3 linked regions of the Oryctolagus cuniculus genome follow. Each later gene encodes a partner of the first gene's protein in a complex. Links are inferred from orthologs where the notes say so. Each region holds a gene or a part of one and is shown in the gene's direction. Other genes may lie near its edges.

The links. Proteins that work in one complex are often made in the same cells at the same time.
Region 2: the proteins of SYT1 (region 1) and CPLX1 are in contact, whole or in part, in a crystal structure (PDB 5W5C), measured with the Rattus norvegicus proteins. The link is inferred for Oryctolagus cuniculus from reciprocal best matches to the Homo sapiens genes SYT1 and CPLX1. Residues at the interface, in NP_001028852.2 of Rattus norvegicus: Glu271, Thr383, Gly384, Glu386, Thr406, Leu407, Gln408, Glu412, Met416; in NP_074055.1 of Rattus norvegicus: Val61, Met62, Gly65, Asp68, Lys69, Tyr70, Lys74.
Region 3: the proteins of SYT1 (region 1) and SV2A are in contact, whole or in part, in a crystal structure (PDB 4V11), measured with the Homo sapiens proteins. The link is inferred for Oryctolagus cuniculus from reciprocal best matches to the Homo sapiens genes SYT1 and SV2A. Residues at the interface, in NP_001129277.1 of Homo sapiens: Thr291, Lys314, Lys326, Lys327, Lys328, Glu342, Ser343, Phe344, Ser345; in NP_001315603.1 of Homo sapiens: Asp82, Thr84, Glu85, Gly86, His87, Asp88.

Annotation. Positions count from the first base shown.
Region 1 is NC_091442.1:82,297,019-82,301,978, forward strand, and holds the end of SYT1 (synaptotagmin-1), read left to right. Parts: intron 1-1,664; coding exon 1,665-1,871; 3' UTR 1,872-4,758; downstream 4,759-4,960. UniProt on the Homo sapiens protein: Calcium sensor that participates in triggering neurotransmitter release at the synapse. May have a regulatory role in the membrane interactions during trafficking of synaptic vesicles at the active zone of the synapse.
Region 2 is NC_091433.1:199,113-204,628, reverse strand, and holds the start of CPLX1 (complexin-1), read left to right. Parts: upstream 1-1,795; 5' UTR 1,796-1,951; intron 1,952-3,093; 5' UTR 3,094-3,159; coding exon 3,160-3,190; intron 3,191-5,516. UniProt on the Homo sapiens protein: Positively regulates a late step in exocytosis of various cytoplasmic vesicles, such as synaptic vesicles and other secretory vesicles.
Region 3 is NC_091438.1:48,033,322-48,039,063, forward strand, and holds the start of SV2A (synaptic vesicle glycoprotein 2A), read left to right. Parts: upstream 1-2,021; 5' UTR 2,022-2,256; intron 2,257-2,641; exon of another isoform or gene 2,642-2,797; intron 2,798-5,742. UniProt on the Homo sapiens protein: Plays a role in the control of regulated secretion in neural and endocrine cells, enhancing selectively low-frequency neurotransmission.

The DNA of each region.
Region 1 (4,960 bases):
TTTCTCTCTCTGTCTCTCTCTCTCACTGTCCACTCTGCCTATCAAAAAAAAAAAAAAAAAAAAAAGAAAACAGTAAGTTGTTAAATAAGCCCTCAGAATCTAAGGAAATCATTGAAGTAAATCCCATGTAGTCTACAAGGTTATTTCCATTTAATGTCAATGTCAGATACACAATAGTTAATAAATGCTAATTGAGAGACAAAGATATCATGATTTAGTTACTAAAGACTTTCACTGTATTATCACATTTTACCCTTGTAAGCTTAGCTCAAATTCTATATTAGTTTTTTTTTGTTTGTTTGTTTGTTTGTTTTTTTTTTTTTTTTTTGACAGGCAGAGTGGACAGTGAGAGAGAGACAGAGAGAGAAAGGTCTTCCTTTGCCGTTGGTTCACCCTCCAATGGCCGATATTCTATATTAGTTTTATGAAAAATACTGGCTGTTTCCCCTCCTGAAATGGGAGTATAGCACAAGGTTGCTTTGAGAAATGCAACCAAAGAGAGAACGGCCTGAGTACCAATGGGAAAACCGTCACTGATGATAACAACTGAGATGAGCGGATTTAGAGATGAACACGTTTCCACAGGAAGCATGGCCTAGTGCTTTGTAGCAGAGGCTCTGGCAACCAAACCACTCATTTCTTATGCCGTCTCTGACAGGTTATGTAACTTCTCTGAGCTTCAAGCATCCATTTTTGTATAATAGCAATATTAATGGGATCTACTGTGAGGACTGAGTTAGTTCCTATATGAGACTCAGACGAATGCAAAATATGTAACACAAATTAGCATTTAAGGGTTCTGATGGTGAAGATAGTGACAATGATGATATAGTAATGGAAAAACTAAGACCAGAGCCAAGTTTTCTTTTTCTTAAAGATTTATTTTATTTGAAAGACAGAGTTACACAGAGAGAGGAGGAGAAAGAATTCACTTCACAAAAGGCCACAATGGCCCTCGTGGCCAGGCCAAAGCCAAGATCCTAGAATTTTATCTGGGTCTCCCGCATGGGTGTAAGGGACCAAAACACTTGGGGTCATCTGCTACTGCTTTCCCATTTCATCAGAAAGGAGACAGATTGGAAATGGAGCATCCGGGATTCACAGGAGGTGCTGGCATTGTCATAGGTGGCAGCTTAACTCACTATGCCACAGTGCTGGCCCCTGAACACAGGTTTTCATGTTCAACTCATTTTCATCCTCTTCCTGGTGACTGGAAATTCATTCTTCTTATTTCCAATTCTTTAGGGTTTTTTAAATATTTATTTTATGTATTTGAAAGACAGAGTTACATAGAGAGAGAGAGAGCAAGAAAGAGAGAGAGGTCTTCCATCTGCTGGTTCACTCCCCAAATGGCCTAAACAGCCAGAGCTGAGCTGATCCGAAGCCAGAAGCCAGGAACTTCTACAAGATACTCATGTGGGTGCAGGGGTCCCAGGACTTGGGCCATCTTCCACGGCCTTCCCAGGTGCTTCAGCAGGGAGCTGAATCAGAAGTGGAGCAGCTGGGACTCGAACCGGTGCCCATGTAGGATGCTGGCGCTGCAGGCCAGGGCAAGAACTTGCTGTGCCACAGCGCCGTCCCTTCTTTAGATCTTAAGGAAGTGTTATAACAGGGATTTATCTGTCTGTCTAGGTGATTAACATTTATTGTTCATCCTCTTTCAGAAAGTGCAAGTGGTGGTAACTGTTTTGGACTATGACAAGATTGGCAAGAACGATGCCATCGGCAAAGTGTTTGTGGGCTACAACAGCACTGGTGCGGAGCTGCGACACTGGTCAGACATGCTGGCCAACCCCAGGCGACCCATCGCCCAGTGGCACACCCTTCAGGTGGAGGAGGAGGTTGATGCCATGCTGGCCGTCAAGAAGTAAAGGAAAGAAGCAACCTTTCTGCATTTGCCCACATAGTGCTCTTTAGCCAGTATCTGTAAATACCTCAGTAATAGGGGTCCTTTCATTTTCCCAGCCATGCATTCCCAACACGATTCAGTGGTACTTCAACTCCTGTTTTAATTTGCACAAATTTAAGTGTAGAGAGCCCCTAAGCCCTTCATCATACCACTGCCCTCCAAATCTAATCTTCTTTTAAGCAATATGATGTGTAGATAGAGCATGACGGAAATTATTTATTGTATCACACTGTTGTATATACCAGTATGCTCAAGATTCATTTCTAGTTTGTGTATTTGTATGTTGTAAGCGTTTCCTAATCTGTGTATATCTAGATGTTTTTAATAAGATGTTCTATTTTAAACTATGTAAATGGACTGAGATATAGGAGAGCTGATAATATATTATATGGTAAATATAGTATCGTCTGCATTCCAGCAAAAATATCAACTTGTAAGGCACTAGTACAGTTAAACGGACATCTTAAAGGACAACTTAAACCTGAGCTTTCTATTGAGTCATTTGAGTACCAAGATCCGCTTATGCCACCTATTTGGTGGGTGACTCCAGTTTTGTAAAATCCCTTCACAGGCAAAACAGCATGATCTGAGCAGCATTTTGGCAGACCTCAAGGAAGCATAGCCACGAACCAGAGTAGCATCTGTCCATACCTGTGAGTAAAGCTACGATCACGGCTTCACGCTGACATCTGAGGAGGCAACTGGACAGGAGTCAGTGAGCTCACGTCACTGCATCTCCAGTGACACTATGTAGTGTTCAGTGTGGACGGGTGTTGGGGTGGGAGGTGGGGGGGGTGCATTTTTGATGGGGAAATGAGGGATGGGTGAGCGGGAGAAGAAGCTAAAAAGAAAAGTCAGCATTTCTGAAATGTTGCCTGACTATTAAAAAGAAAAAAGCAGCTCTCCGTTATCACCTTTATACAAAATGTACATCCTGCGGGTTCTGTTCCAGATTTCACTCCTATAATAATTCCAAAAGATTTGCACATTAGACTTTGTAACAAAATATTTTATTATACAAATCCAGACTAGAAGGAATGCAGAATATTTTTAACACAGCAATCTGTGCTTATTACACAAAACTACTTTGTGGTAAACAGACAGTATTGTAATCCCGTCTAAAGATGAAAAATAAATTTAGCCATAGTTCTGAATGCACTTCAATTAAGCCAAAACAGACAGCTAGTGATCTTTTTATATACTCTTTTTACTTCAATAAGTTTTAATTTGTCCTTTAACAAGGTGAAACAAAACCAAGAACAAGTTCTAGAACCCTGAAGCAACCTCTTATGTATACTAGATGCTTGATTTAGGAGGCGTTTTTAAATGTTTTCCATGTTATTCTGTAGTACATGGCACTATTAAGAAGCTACTAGTCATTCCATAAGCGTCTTAAGGACTGCTCTGTGTAACACTGTGACTGCCCTGTGTGCTTAGACACGTAGTTTCCTCAGTGGATAGCACTCAACTTACTCCTTAGTGATAATGTAACAATACTGCCATTCCCTCTACTGCACTGCCCAAGGTGTGTGTAGCACAAACAGTTCTCATTACAAAGGACCAATCTGCAACGGAAAAGCTATGCAGAGGACAAGAAAGAGACATAGAGCGGGGTGGAACACACAGCACTTTGTCAAGCACTGTGCAATATGCCATATTCTTCCCCCACCCCCCCGCTACGGCAGACAAACCACCCTGTGGAAGGGCAGCCGATGTACGTGTAGTGCATCTGGCCTTTCATCTCACTCACTTCTGTGACCCGCGTGAACCTTCAGGCCACAGAGAGTAGTGATGTTCCAACGTCAAAGTTTATATTCACATAGACCAAAACAAAATGGAGGAAACCCAAGCCTTGGCCTCGTGTTCGGCCCTTAGGATATCACGCCATGTTTACTTTTGAAAAATTCAAGAGAATTCAAAAAGGGCTGATGGTAGGCTTTGAACATGGGCTTGGCTGTTTCCCAACAAAACTAGAATTCTTGTCATGATTCTTTCTCATCAAAGAGGCAGACCCTTCCACCTTTCAGCCCAGTCACAGTGAATGGTTTAGTGCTGGGACAGACACAAAAGATCAAAGAAAAATATCTCCTTCTTCTGTCAATGGTCCCTACTTCTTAAAAGAAACATAGACAGTAGAAATAAGTCACAAGTCATAATTTGAGACAAAGCATAGAGGTGAACAGGAAATTCAAATGAGACTCTTTCCAGTACAAAGGACCAAACCCTACCAAAGAAAGGGAATTGATTGACTTTTGAAAATTCCTTAAATACCAGAAACTGGCATTTAATTTCACTCTATTCAGCTTTAAGTTGTTCGCAGTGAAACAACACTTTAAAACAAGCAGGTTCAGGCTGCCTAATATACATTATTTCTTGCATTAAAGTACTACTAATGCATTCTCTTGCAACACTGCCAGACATGGGATTGTCACCATAGAACCGCTGGTACTATGCCACCCTCAGAAGTCAGCGACCAAACCTGCTTGATGACCAAGACCCTTTCTCGGACAAGCCACTTGTCCCTTCCTGACAAAGCTGTGTAAAGTGTTAGATTCTGATGCTCTAGAAAGATCCTAGTTGCCTTTGTGTATATTTATTGCCTGCTTGAGTGTTTCTACGTGTGGGTTTTCCCTGTATCTTGTAGCAATGTCAGGGTGTTTTCTTCTGCCATATGGCTCGAGGCCCGCGAGCCGACCCCTTTAGCTGTACTTTACGTTCATTTTTTGATGAAGTGGTTTAAATTTTGTTTCTCTTTGTGTAGTGAATTCCACAGTAGTTTTCTGATTGTTGTTAAAAATGACTTAACATATTACACGGATATTCAATAAAAATGTTTTATTTCCTGTTGATGATGCTGCCTTTCAACTCCTTTCTTCCTGGTTCTGGTGGTTCATCAGTGAGCTGTTGATTCTGGGGGGAACTGTTGGAAGTAGTGTGGGTTAAACAAAACTTGTTCCCGATGCCAGCCTCTGAGTCACTTCTGTGGACACAGAGTGGCTGCAGGGAAAACAGTGCCTGGGACCATGTGGCCATCACTGTCCAGAGTCCCTG
Region 2 (5,516 bases), on another chromosome or scaffold:
CTCATTTTCTGTGAACTTTATCTTTTTAATAAGATTTTGTTTTATCTGTTTGAAAGGTAGAGTGACAGAGAGTGGTCGTCCGAGCCTGGTTCACTCCCCGGATGGCCACAATGTTCTAAGCTGGGCCAGGCCAACGCCAGGAGCCAGGAGCTTCTTCCAGGTCTCCCATGTGGGTGCAGGGCCCAAGCACCTGGGCATCTTCCACTGCTTTCCCAGGTGCATTAGCAGGGAGCTGGATTGGAAGTGCAGCAGCTGGGACTCGAACCAGTGCCGCAGGCTGAGGCCCAACCTGCTATGCCACAGCGCCTGGGCTCTGTTTCTGCCGCCAGCTCTGCGCCAGGAGCCCCAAGGCCGAGCTCCCAGGCCCCAGAGGCTGCACAGCAGGGCTGGGACACCAGCCACATGGGGACCGGCTGGCTGCCCCCAGGGGCGTCACATGCTGTCTCACTCCAGAGGTGCAGCTTCAGGTGCCACTGCTGGGGTGGGGGTGGGGCCTATCTACAAGAGCCATGGGACAGACGCCCTTCGAGACCCCACCCCACCACACAGGGCTTGGGCACATGTGGGTGGGCGGGGCTTCAACCCAGCCCCTGGGGTCCTTGCCTGGCCCTGCTTTGCCCTCCTGGAGCTCCTGGCCTACCGGGCCACTCCCGGGTCCACGCGGCCGGCCAAGGGTCCCTCGGCTGGGGCTCGGCATCTGGACCTCACCTTGTGCAACTGGACCTTGTGCAACTCCAGCCCCAACCCCTGTGGCCGCCCCAGCTGGCCCCGTCAAACATCCTGGCTTCCACACAGAGACTGTGCCCTGTCCCGCTGTGGCCACGTGGCCAGGTGAGGTCTCTGCCAGCAACCCGGCCCAGGCTCTGCCTCCGGCTGGGCGGCTGTGCCCAGCCTGCCTCCCACTCTGCCGGGACTGCCACCAGCCACGCTGTGTCCCCTGGGGTGGTCTGAGTCCTGCCTGGCCCCCACTCCCAGCTGAGAGCTGAGAAAGGCATGGGTGGACACAAACGGAGTAATGAGAACGAGAGAGACAGAGAGTCAGAGAGAGAGGGAGGGAGGGATGGAGGGGAGAGCGGGCGCTGAGAAGTACGGGCCCCAGTCCAGGCTGGCAGAGGGCTCTCTCTGCTCCGGGCAAGGCTGTGGCTCCAGGCTGTGTGTGCATCCATAGGCCTGGACCATAGAGTTAGCCCGGAGTTTAGGCCACAGCCTGGACTGCTCCGTGCTGGGCCTGTGCCGCTGCTCACTGCCCAGGGCCTCCTCACAGGCTCCTTGTGAGGTCACTGGGGTGAGCCACAGGCCCCAGGGGTCACCCTTGCGGTAACTGGTGGTGCTGTCCAAGGCAGGTCACTGTGGGGCCATCACCAGGTCCCGCGGAGAGGAGGGGCCACTCTCTCGCCTGCACCGAAGCTGTTCCTGGTCCAGGCCTCTGAAGCAGCCCGGCTGGGGCTGAGGGGGGGTCAAGGTGGCAGGGCCGGCAAGGGTCTCTCCTAGTGATACCGGGAATCTACCCGGGTCGGAGCCGGCTCTGCGGGCGAGGGAATGGGGGGCCGCTGGGGGCTGGGGTCCTCTCCCTAGACCCGCGCTGCAAGGACCCCGAGAACAGGGGGTGTCCGGGTTCCCGTGGAGGGCCCGGGCCTGGCCTGGCGGGGGCGAGGTCGACGTCGGGGTCGGAGTCTCGCCAGGGCCGGGGCGGGGGGCGGAGTCCGGGTCTCGCTGGGGCCAGGGTCTGCAGCCAGCGCTCCGCACCGCACCGCACACTGGCTCCGCCCCCCGCCCCGACCGCGCGGCCCCGCCCTCCCCGTCACGCCCGACGCGGGGGGGCGGCCCCAAGTGACGCGCGCGCCCCGCGCCCCGCGCCCCGCGTCCCGCTCCCCGCCGTGCCCTTCAGCGCCGCAGTCGCTGCCGCCACATGGACCCGGCCGGCCCGAGCACGCCGCGCTGACGCCCGGAGGTGAGGGCTCCAGCCCCGGGCCTGCTCCCCCTGCCCCGCGGCCCCGGCCCCGGCCCTGAGTGCCGGACCCGCTCCCCGCTCCGTGCACCCCGGCCCCGAGCGCCGGTCCCGCTCCCCGCACCCCGCACCCGGGCTGCAGCCGCGAGCCCGGGCTCTCCCGCTCTCCAGTCCCGAGCCCCGGCCCCGCACCTCGCACCCCGGCCCCTGCTCTGGTCCTGGCGCCCGCACCCGGCGCCCCGCAACCCGGCCCCGCCCAGGTCCGCTGAGCTCCCGCGCTCCCCGCCCGGCGGCCGCTGTCCCCGCCGCGGTGCTGAAGCGGCCCCGCGCCCGCTCCTTCTCCTCCGCCTCCGTCCCCTCTTCCCGCCGTTCCGTCTCGGCCCCGGCCCCGGCCCCCCCACCCCGCCGACCTGCCCCCGGCCCCCGCCTCCCTCTGTCCTTTCGTCTTCGCGCTTCCGCCCAGGGCGCCTCGCCAGCCCGCACAGCCGAGCGGCAGCGGGGCAGGCGGCGGGCCTGGGTCTTTAGTCCCCGTGGGCTCTCAGCCCGGGCAGAACTTGGGCAGAGCAGGGGGCGGCAGCGAAGGTGCCCTTGGGGCCAGCCCTGCCGGAGGCGTTCCCTGCCCAGCCCCCTCCCCGCCCCCTGGGGGTCTCCTTCCTCTGCGGAGGGAAGGAGGTCAACCCGGGACCCATGGGGCTGGGTCTCCCACACAGGGGCTCTGCGGCACCTGGGTTCACAGGAAGCCTGCAGATGGGGGGTGTCCAGCCCCTGCCTGCCCCCCAGGCCGCCCCCGTGGCTTGGCACCGCAGTGGCTCCTGGTCGGAAGGCACAGGACCCCCCCCCCCAGCCCCAGGAGCTGCAAGGCAGAGCAGTCACCTTCAAACGCCCCTGGGCCGCCCGCTCTGCGGCTGTGCCAGACTCCTGCAGCCGTGCCCCTCCCTGCAGGCGCCTGAGAGCTGGCTGGCATCGGGCCCGCTGCCCTGGCCTGTGCAGGGACCAGTGCGCCCCAGCCTACCTCGGGGCCCTCCCCACGGCCACCTTCCCCTGCAGGGTCCAGCCCACGAGGCATCGGGACCCCAGACCTTGCCAGGGGAGGCCGGCAGGGGACAGGGAGGAGCCCCCGGGCCTCTGACCACTCTCTCCCCCAGGAGGAGAACTCGCGGCCACACTCGCATGTGAATTCTGACCCTCGCTGAGGCGCTGAGACCTTCGTCATGGAGTTCGTGATGAAGCAGGCCCTGGGAGGTAGGGAGCGGGGCCGGGGCCAGGGAGGGGGCTTGGGGCGGCCCCATGGGGAGCAGGTCCAGACGGATGCACCCGCTATGGCAGCGAGGGGCCACCGCACACCTTGTGGATGCCCCAAGGGGACGAGGCGAGGAGGCCCGGGAAGGGGCCGTGAGAGGCAGGGGCAGGCGAGTCGGGCAAAGCTCAGTTGGAGGACCTAGGGTAGGTCCCAGCCAGGCCTGACGGCAGCGGCATCTCCAGGCGGACAGAGCTGTGGGAAGCCCGGTGGGTTTCACCCAGGTGGTGGTGGCACTGTCCCCAGGACCCGGGCCAAAGAAGGGGCCCAGGCAGCTTGTGGGGCCCAGGCCCGTCCACCAGAGCGGTGCCACCCGCTACCTGACCACATGCTGGACCCGTGGCTGGGTCCCTGGCCAGGAGGTGGCGGGCAGTGGGCTGAGGGGTTGCGAGGCTTTGGGGCCGTCTGGGTGCGTGTGGGGTCTGCACAGGGCAGCCTGTCCTGGGCACCCAGCTCCCCCGGGTCAGCTCCTGGGATGGGGCCTGTGCCAATGCCTGCGTCTGTGCCGGGGTGGCGCTCAGGGTGGCCTCTGTCTGACCCGGTGCCTCTGGGCTGGGGACAGGACGGGAGACCTCTGTTCTGAGGCAGCAGGAAACGTCTGAGCCTGGCCCAGGCCGCACTCCCTGGGCTGTCACGGTCCAGGGTGGGCTGCGGCTGAGTCCCGCTGTGGCGCTGACGTCACCGGGACCAGGCTCAGGGACAGGCAGAGTCCAGGCTCCACGACACGTGTTGTGGGCAGTTGGCCAGCGGCTGGCTCAGGCCCTGAGGTGGGCCTCTGGAAACCGCAGTATCTGGTGTGGCTGTCTACACGGTGAAGTTAGCCAGGGAATCGCCAGCCTGGATTCGCTCTTTGTGCCCCTGCAGTGGCTGTGAGCAGCCAGGGGTGGCCCCTGGGGGCCCCGCTCTCCGATGGCTACACCGGGCGCCTGGACACTGAGCGCGGCTGCTGGGCGGTGTCTGGCGTCCTTGAGCCCGGGCGAAGCCTTCCTCTCCCAGTGGCGACGTTTCTGGGTCTCTGGCGGGGGCGAGGGTGAGGGGCAGGCCCCAGACCGACAGGCAGCAGAGGTCGGCAGAGACACTGAGGGAAAGACAGAGCCTGGACGCAGGACCCTGGCAGGAGCGGGAGCGGGAGCGGGAGCGGGAGGCTCCAGGAAGCCACCCAGGGAGGACAGGCGGGGGCGGGGACAGAGACCCTGGCCCGGGCGCTGTGGGTGTCCCGGGGAGCAGTGGAGGAAGGGCAGACCCCGGGCCTCCACAGGTCAAAGCGTCCGGGGAAGGTGGCGGCTGAGACCCAGGCACGGGAGAAAAGTGACTGCAGGGCAGGCAGGGGTGGAGACAGACACGCACCCCCGCACACATGCATGCCCACGCACACACGTGCACGTGCTCACGGACATGCAGGAGGGAGAGGCAGTGGACGGCCGTGGGCACACACACACGTTCACCTCTCAGCACGCATGCGTGCACAGGCACACATGTACACACACGTGCACCCGCTCACAGAGACGGAGCAGACACGAGGGGAGGGCGGCCCCCTTACCCTCCAGCTCCCTGGGCTGCCAGCATCCCTGCAGGGGGCAGCGCCCAGGGCCTTCCCGTCTGCGCGGCTGGGGTCTCAGGCAAGCCGTGCTGGGGCACGGCTGTGGGAGGCTGTGGCTGCTGTGGACACGGGACCTGCAGCAGACGGACAGCCGCCCCTGTGCCGGGCTGGTGTCACGCAGGCTCCCTGGCAGGGTGCATGCCCCTGGCCCTCGATGTCCAGGCAGCTGGCCTGTGGGCCTGTCGATGCGGAGAGCTGGAGGGAGCCTGGTGTGGACGGTGGCGAAGTCCAGGAGGCTGCAGGACTTCCTCCTGGGTGCTGTGTGAGAAGCAGACGCTGCTGGTCCCACCCTGCCCTGTCCCCCTCGGCCACCCTGCTGGACACGGAGTCCATGATGTCACCTGGGAGCACGAGGGCGGGGCTTGGGGTCAGTGCTGCTGGACAGAGAGGCGAGCGCGGTCCCCGCCCAGGGCAGGCTCCCGTGTGCCCGGCTCAGCCGTGGGGCCCTGGCGCTGCGTCTCAGGCGCCGCCCTCTCACCTGGCTCCCTCTGACCTCCTGTCCACCCCCCACCTGTGCTCTCCCTGGGCAGCCCGAGGCCTGCTGCCCGGACGGCGCCCTGCTCTTCCCGACCTGTGACCTCTGACCTCACAGCTCAGCCTCGGCCCGCACCTGTCCTGGGGTTGTTCGTATGACATCTGGCCACTGACTGCCGGGCTGGTCTCCCTCGGCC
Region 3 (5,742 bases), on another chromosome or scaffold:
TATCTTCCCCCAGAACTTAAAAGTGCTTCTTCCAAGAGTACAAGATTTCTATTTTAGCAAGTAATGAATCAATAACGGGGAGTAGCGAAGTCCCCTGGAAGAGGAGAAATGGCTCCCTCCTTGCAGGACTTGGCTATAACCTAATTGCAATATTAACATTTAAATAAAGAATGTATCAACCTCAAGGGCCAGCAAGGAAAGCCTAGTAAAGGCAGAGTCCCTGAGGCCCAGTGGGCAGAGCCATTGCAAGTACCAAGTACCACCCTGGAAAGCGCGCTTTAGCCATAATTTTATAGAGGTCCAGGAGCATTGGCAAGGCTGCCTGCAGCACGGAGGTGAGGATATAGAGTTGTTGCCAGGAAGTTTTCTGGACCCGTTGGCATTTGGGGATTGTGGGGAAATTAGGCACACGAGGCAATTCAAAGGTGGGCAGTATCCAAAGTCGAGAAGGTAGACAGCGATTCTGAGGGCGGGCTTGATGGGGAGGTCTGGACTGGAGTCGTTTACCACCAAAGCTGATTGGCCGTGCAGCATCATGGGAGGTGACGACAACTGATGACCAGTGTACAGACATATGGGTGGTCCTGTAAAAAGTCGCCCTGTAAAATGACTTTTTAAGTAATTGGTTGGTCCTTATGCCCTGCCCCAGTAATCCTGCGGTCTTGTTTTAAAAGGCATTGCTACGCATGCAATAAATGAGTTCTTGCTTACTTGACTTGACTCCCTGCTGCGTCTGACTGACCCCGGGATGGGGGGGTAGGGCTGGGGAACCGGCGAGCGGCACACTTAGCTTTCTTCGGACCCAGTCCATCCTTGTTTGGGTGGACTAAGACCCTGCAGGGGATGGCGAGATGCCATTAAAGATACAGATACTCCAGTTCTGTCGTCGGGGCATTTATACATTGACATTGTCATTCTGATTTGGCTTCAAGGAGAAAAGACACATAGACATGAATTTTCAGTCTGGTTGACAGTAAAATTTTCATGGTGGGCTAATCCATGTTGTGGCTTTACATTTTAGTAAATGGTGAATTTTGTTCGCACACATGAGTATTTCCGAGACCCAGCTTTGGAGCCTATAAAACGTAGGCCTGCATCTCTCTCAGTGGTAAATTCAACATGGCAGATGCCCCCCGTGAGATCCCTTGGGACACAGCCTGTGAACCTTTTCCACGTCATATATCCCAGCACTCTGAAACTTCCGCATGGAATGAGGATCACATACTGTTAGATGTGAAAAGGATCGGATGAAGCATCCAGCCCAACCTCTCCACTTCCCAGATAAGAAAACTGAGTTTCGCAGAAGTTAGAGAGCTTGGAACCGGTGCATTTGGCACAAGGGTTAAGCCACCACTTGGGATGTGTGCATCCCATATTGGGATGCCTGGTTGAGTCCCAGCTACTTGACTTGTAATCCAGTTTCCAGCTAATGTGCACTGTGGGAGGCAACAGATGATGGCTCAAGTACTTGGGTCACCCATGTGGGAGACCCAGATTGAGTTCTAGGCTCCTGGCTTTGGCCTGGCTGAGCCCTAGATGTTGACAGGCGTTTGGAGAGTGAACCAGCAGATGGGAGACCCCCCCCCCCCTTTCCTTCTCTGTCCTTATGTTTTTCAAATAAAATGAAAAATACATTTTTAAAAATTAAAATGATATAAACTAAAAAGCTATAGGAAAAAAAAAAAGTAGAGAACTTGACCAAGAGCTGACAGCTTGTTAGAAGTGAGAACCCAGGTCAGGCCAGCCTATGCCAAGGCCCTGCCTGCAATAGGCTCGCTCAGGATGTACAGCCCCAAACCACCCCTGTAGCCTCTCATTGTCCCCGGAGTAGCCGTGGTCCCCCAGTGTCACCAAGTAGTATGTCCAGTTTATTGGTACAGGGACAAAGGAAAGATAGAACTGAAACCAATTCACGCCTGTCTGCCTGCAAGTGGGTGGCGGGGGGGGGGGGGGGAGTGAGAGTGAGAGTGAGAGTGAGAGATAGAGAGGCCGGGCTATGATGGAGGGAGGGAGTGAAGCAAAGAGGAGAAGGGCTTTGTGGGGGCTCCTGTTTAAGTCCTTGGAGCATGAATGGCAGGGGCACTCACTGCCAGATCTGCAAAAAGCCCCTTCGCTTCTGCAGTCCCCATCCCTGCTGCACCCAGTGCCCGGAGGAGCGGGCTGAAGGAGAGCTGGCAGGGCTCCAGCAGGCTTGGCCTCCGGCTGTGCGCGATGAAAGCCACACCTTGTTAGCCCCGCCATCTCCTAAACACCCAGGTAAAGGTGGAGCACTCTCCTTAGGGGAGGAGGCTGTGGGAAAGGGGTTTGCCTAGGAGCCGTGGAGCCCGTGGAAGGCGGGCGTTTTGCAGAGAGCAAGAGCCCCTGACCCTCGTGGGTTCTGCCACACTGGGTCGGGGGTGCCCAGGAAGGGGCTGCCTTCTCCCCCACCTCCCTGTCTGTGCGCTCCTCTTGTTGGCGTCACGATTTCTGTCTTTCCTTACTTCAGGGTTGACTGGGAAGGGGCTGCGAAGGGCTGTTGGGCATTTTCTGCTGTAGCCGCGACAGTCTCCTCTAGCCCCTCATCTTTCTCCACGGTGCCCTGGGTCCCTCCATCCTCTTTGCTTCGCCCCCCCAACAATGGTCTCTCCCGCCGCTCAGTGGCGCGGGGAGGGGGGGGGCGCGGAGGCGGGGCCGGGGGGGGGGGCAGGTCTGCATTGCCGCTTCCCCCGGTGCCCGAGCAGTCGCCGCTGCCGCCTCAGCCCGCCGCCCGGACCCCCGCCCTCTCCCGGGACCAGCTGGCCGGGGTAGCCCAGCCCAGGTGAGACCCTGCTCGCAGCCTCTCATCTCCACCCCGCCCTGCCAGAAGCATCCTTGCCTTGCCTTGCAGCCATTTTACCCTCGGATGCTTTGCTAACGGGGAGGGTGACAGTCCCCGCTCCAAGGGTGGGGTGGGGGGTGGTTTGAAGGTAGACGTTTATTTCAGAGGTTGGGCTGTTCAGGATAGAAAAACGTATGCGTATATGTGTACATTTATTATGTGTGCATATATATGGCGAAATGGGAGGAAGGGGTATATTTTTTCTCCATTCGCCAAGTCCCTACCTCCTCTGAAGATAAGTGAGGTGGGGGGGTTGTTAGGTGGGGTGGGGTTCCCTCAAACTCCAGTTCCCCCCTCATCTCATCCTCCCCTCTTTCTGCCCCCAGCCATGAATGAGAAATGACCTTGGCTGGGGCCAGGGAATGGATGCTGCCTTGGTCAGCTGGCCTGGACCAGGCTGGGTGGGGGCATGGAGGGAAGGGGGCCGAAGAAAGCCCCACTGGGGGGGGCAGAGATGGAACAGACCAGGTGTTGGGGGCACGGATGGGGTGGGGGAGGGGGGTTGAGTGACAGTGGGCACTTGTCCAGAGCAGCCCCAGGGTGCACAGGTGCTCAGAGGAGCAATTCTGTGGGTTATAGGGGCTCATCCTTTGTACCAGAGCTGAGGAGATGGGCGCAGTGGGGGTGGGGTGGGGGGTCAGCGCAGAGGCTGTGTCTGTGCCCCTGCCCGGGGAGGGGGGGGTCTCCCGCATCCCTGCCCCTCTGCCTGCCTCCCCGTGTGCATTCCTCCTGTGCTTTCTCAGCTGACACCTTCATTTTTTTTCTCTCAGGCTGTGGATGCTCCCCTTTTCCTAGCCCCTGGGGTAGGCTGTGGGCAAGAGAGACGCAGTCTTGTTCTTTGGGTAGGGGCTGAAGCCCAGTCACCCAGTTGCAGTTGGGAGGGGGCTCCAGCACCTTCTACCCCCCCCCCATGCCACCCTTGCATTTGATAAGTGGCTGCTTCCTACTGACCTTGTCCCTGGGGCTGGAGGGGACTGGGTGACAAGGTCTGGATGGCCCTCTAAGTCAGGGGCTTTGACTGGGCAGTGGGGGCTCTGGACCCCCTTACCCAGGGCTGGGCAGGTTGTCCTGAAAGGAAGTGTTTGCCCAGGAGTCGCTGCCCCCTTCTGCCCTCTGCAGAAAATCTCCTGGGCACGTTTTTCCGGTCAGGTGAAGCCAGTCAGCCTTAAAGGGCTGTGCAACCCTGAGTCTCCTCTCCTCCAACCTCTGCCTCCCCAAGTCTTGTCTCTCTCCCACAAGGCTCAGCCACCCTGTGCTGCTTTGGGGGCTAAAAATAGCATGACTGCCTCACCAGCTCAGAGAATGTGTCTCCTTTCTCTGCCTCCTGGCCGGGTGGGCCCTGGGGGAGCCGCGGGGCGGGCGTCGCCGCCAGGACTCTCAGTGTCAGCAGGAACAGGGCCGGCTCCTGGTGGTCCCTCTGCCTCCCTCGGGGTTTGAGGGGCGATCTTGGTGGGGAAGAGAGGGAAGGCCAGTGAATTGTCACACACTGGGGGGATCCCCCAGCTCCCTGTCTTTCGTGGGGGATGGTAGGGCCCTGAACCCTGGAGGAAGGAAGGTGATGTGGGGGTCACTGCTCTGGGTACCGTGGTCCAGTGCTTACATTTGTCCTGAGGGGGGAAGGCTCTGCTTGCCAGTGCTTCTCTCTGGAACCACATAGCATTACTTACCCTCTGCTAGGGAGCCGGGTGCGTGTGTGTGTGTGTGTGTGTGTGTGTGTCTGTGAGAGAGAGAGAGACTGAATGAAGGCCCTGGGTGGGCAGAAGGAGGCAGGATAATTCTAGGGCTGTGATCTCTGATTGGAATCTGGGCCTGCTTCCTCTCTTCTACGAAGGAAGGGAGGGTTATCCCAAGCCTTCTCCTGAAAGGTGTCTCGTCCAAGGAGGCCCAAGGCCCCCTTAGCTGTACGCCAGCCTCCTACGCAATGCAGTATTTGTGGACTCCTTTTCCTTGACTCCTGGAGAAGGAGCAGAAAGGATTAAGGAGGATTAAGGAGGGAGGCCCTGGAGGAATGAAGTACAACCATAGACCTCAGGTTCTCATGATGGAAACAAATGCGTTTGATCATATAGTTAGAGGGGAGAGAGAGAGAGAGAGAGAGAGAGAGGAGAGAGAGAGATCGATCTTCCATCTGTTCCATCTGTTGGTTCACTTCCCAAATGTCTACAACAGCCAGGATTGGGCCAGGTGGAAGCCAGGTGACAAGAACTCAATCCAGGTCTCTAACATGGGCAGCAGGGACCCAAGAACCTGGGCCATCATCTGCTACCTTCCCAGGTGCTTTAGCAGGAAGCTGGATCAGAAGCCAAGGAACCAGTACTCAAACCAGCACCCCTATATGGGATGCTGGCTCCCGAAGGGTAGCTTAACTCACTGTTCCACCATTGCCTGCCTCAGTGCTGGTACCCTCTGTGGCTGCCCTTAAAGGGCATCCAGTGACAGCTTGTGTTTTGGTCCTTGTGGCGGAGGACGGGGCATGTCACTCCATTGCCATCACCAACCGGCAATAGCCACTATTTATTCCTTGCTTTCTACGTGCCAGGCTCTGTGGTAAGGAGTTTATTGCATTGTGTCACTTAAGCCTTACTTTCCCCTTTCTAAATAAGAGGAAACTGAGGCTTGCATGCTCAGAAGCATGCCTGTGGTCACTTAGCTGCTAAGTGCTAAACCCAAGCCTGCCTGGCCAGGTGTGCCGGGCTCTTACCCACTTGGCTATGCTGGGAGGAGACCCCTCAGTGGGAGGCTTACACACGTGTAAGCAAAGGCCATGAAAGTCCAACCTTCAGATGCCCACTGTGGACTGAAGACAACAGTAGGAGGCCTTCTTCTCCTACTCCTCTTCCTCAAGCTCTGCCCCCAGCAAGCAGCCCAGACCAGAATAGCACAGG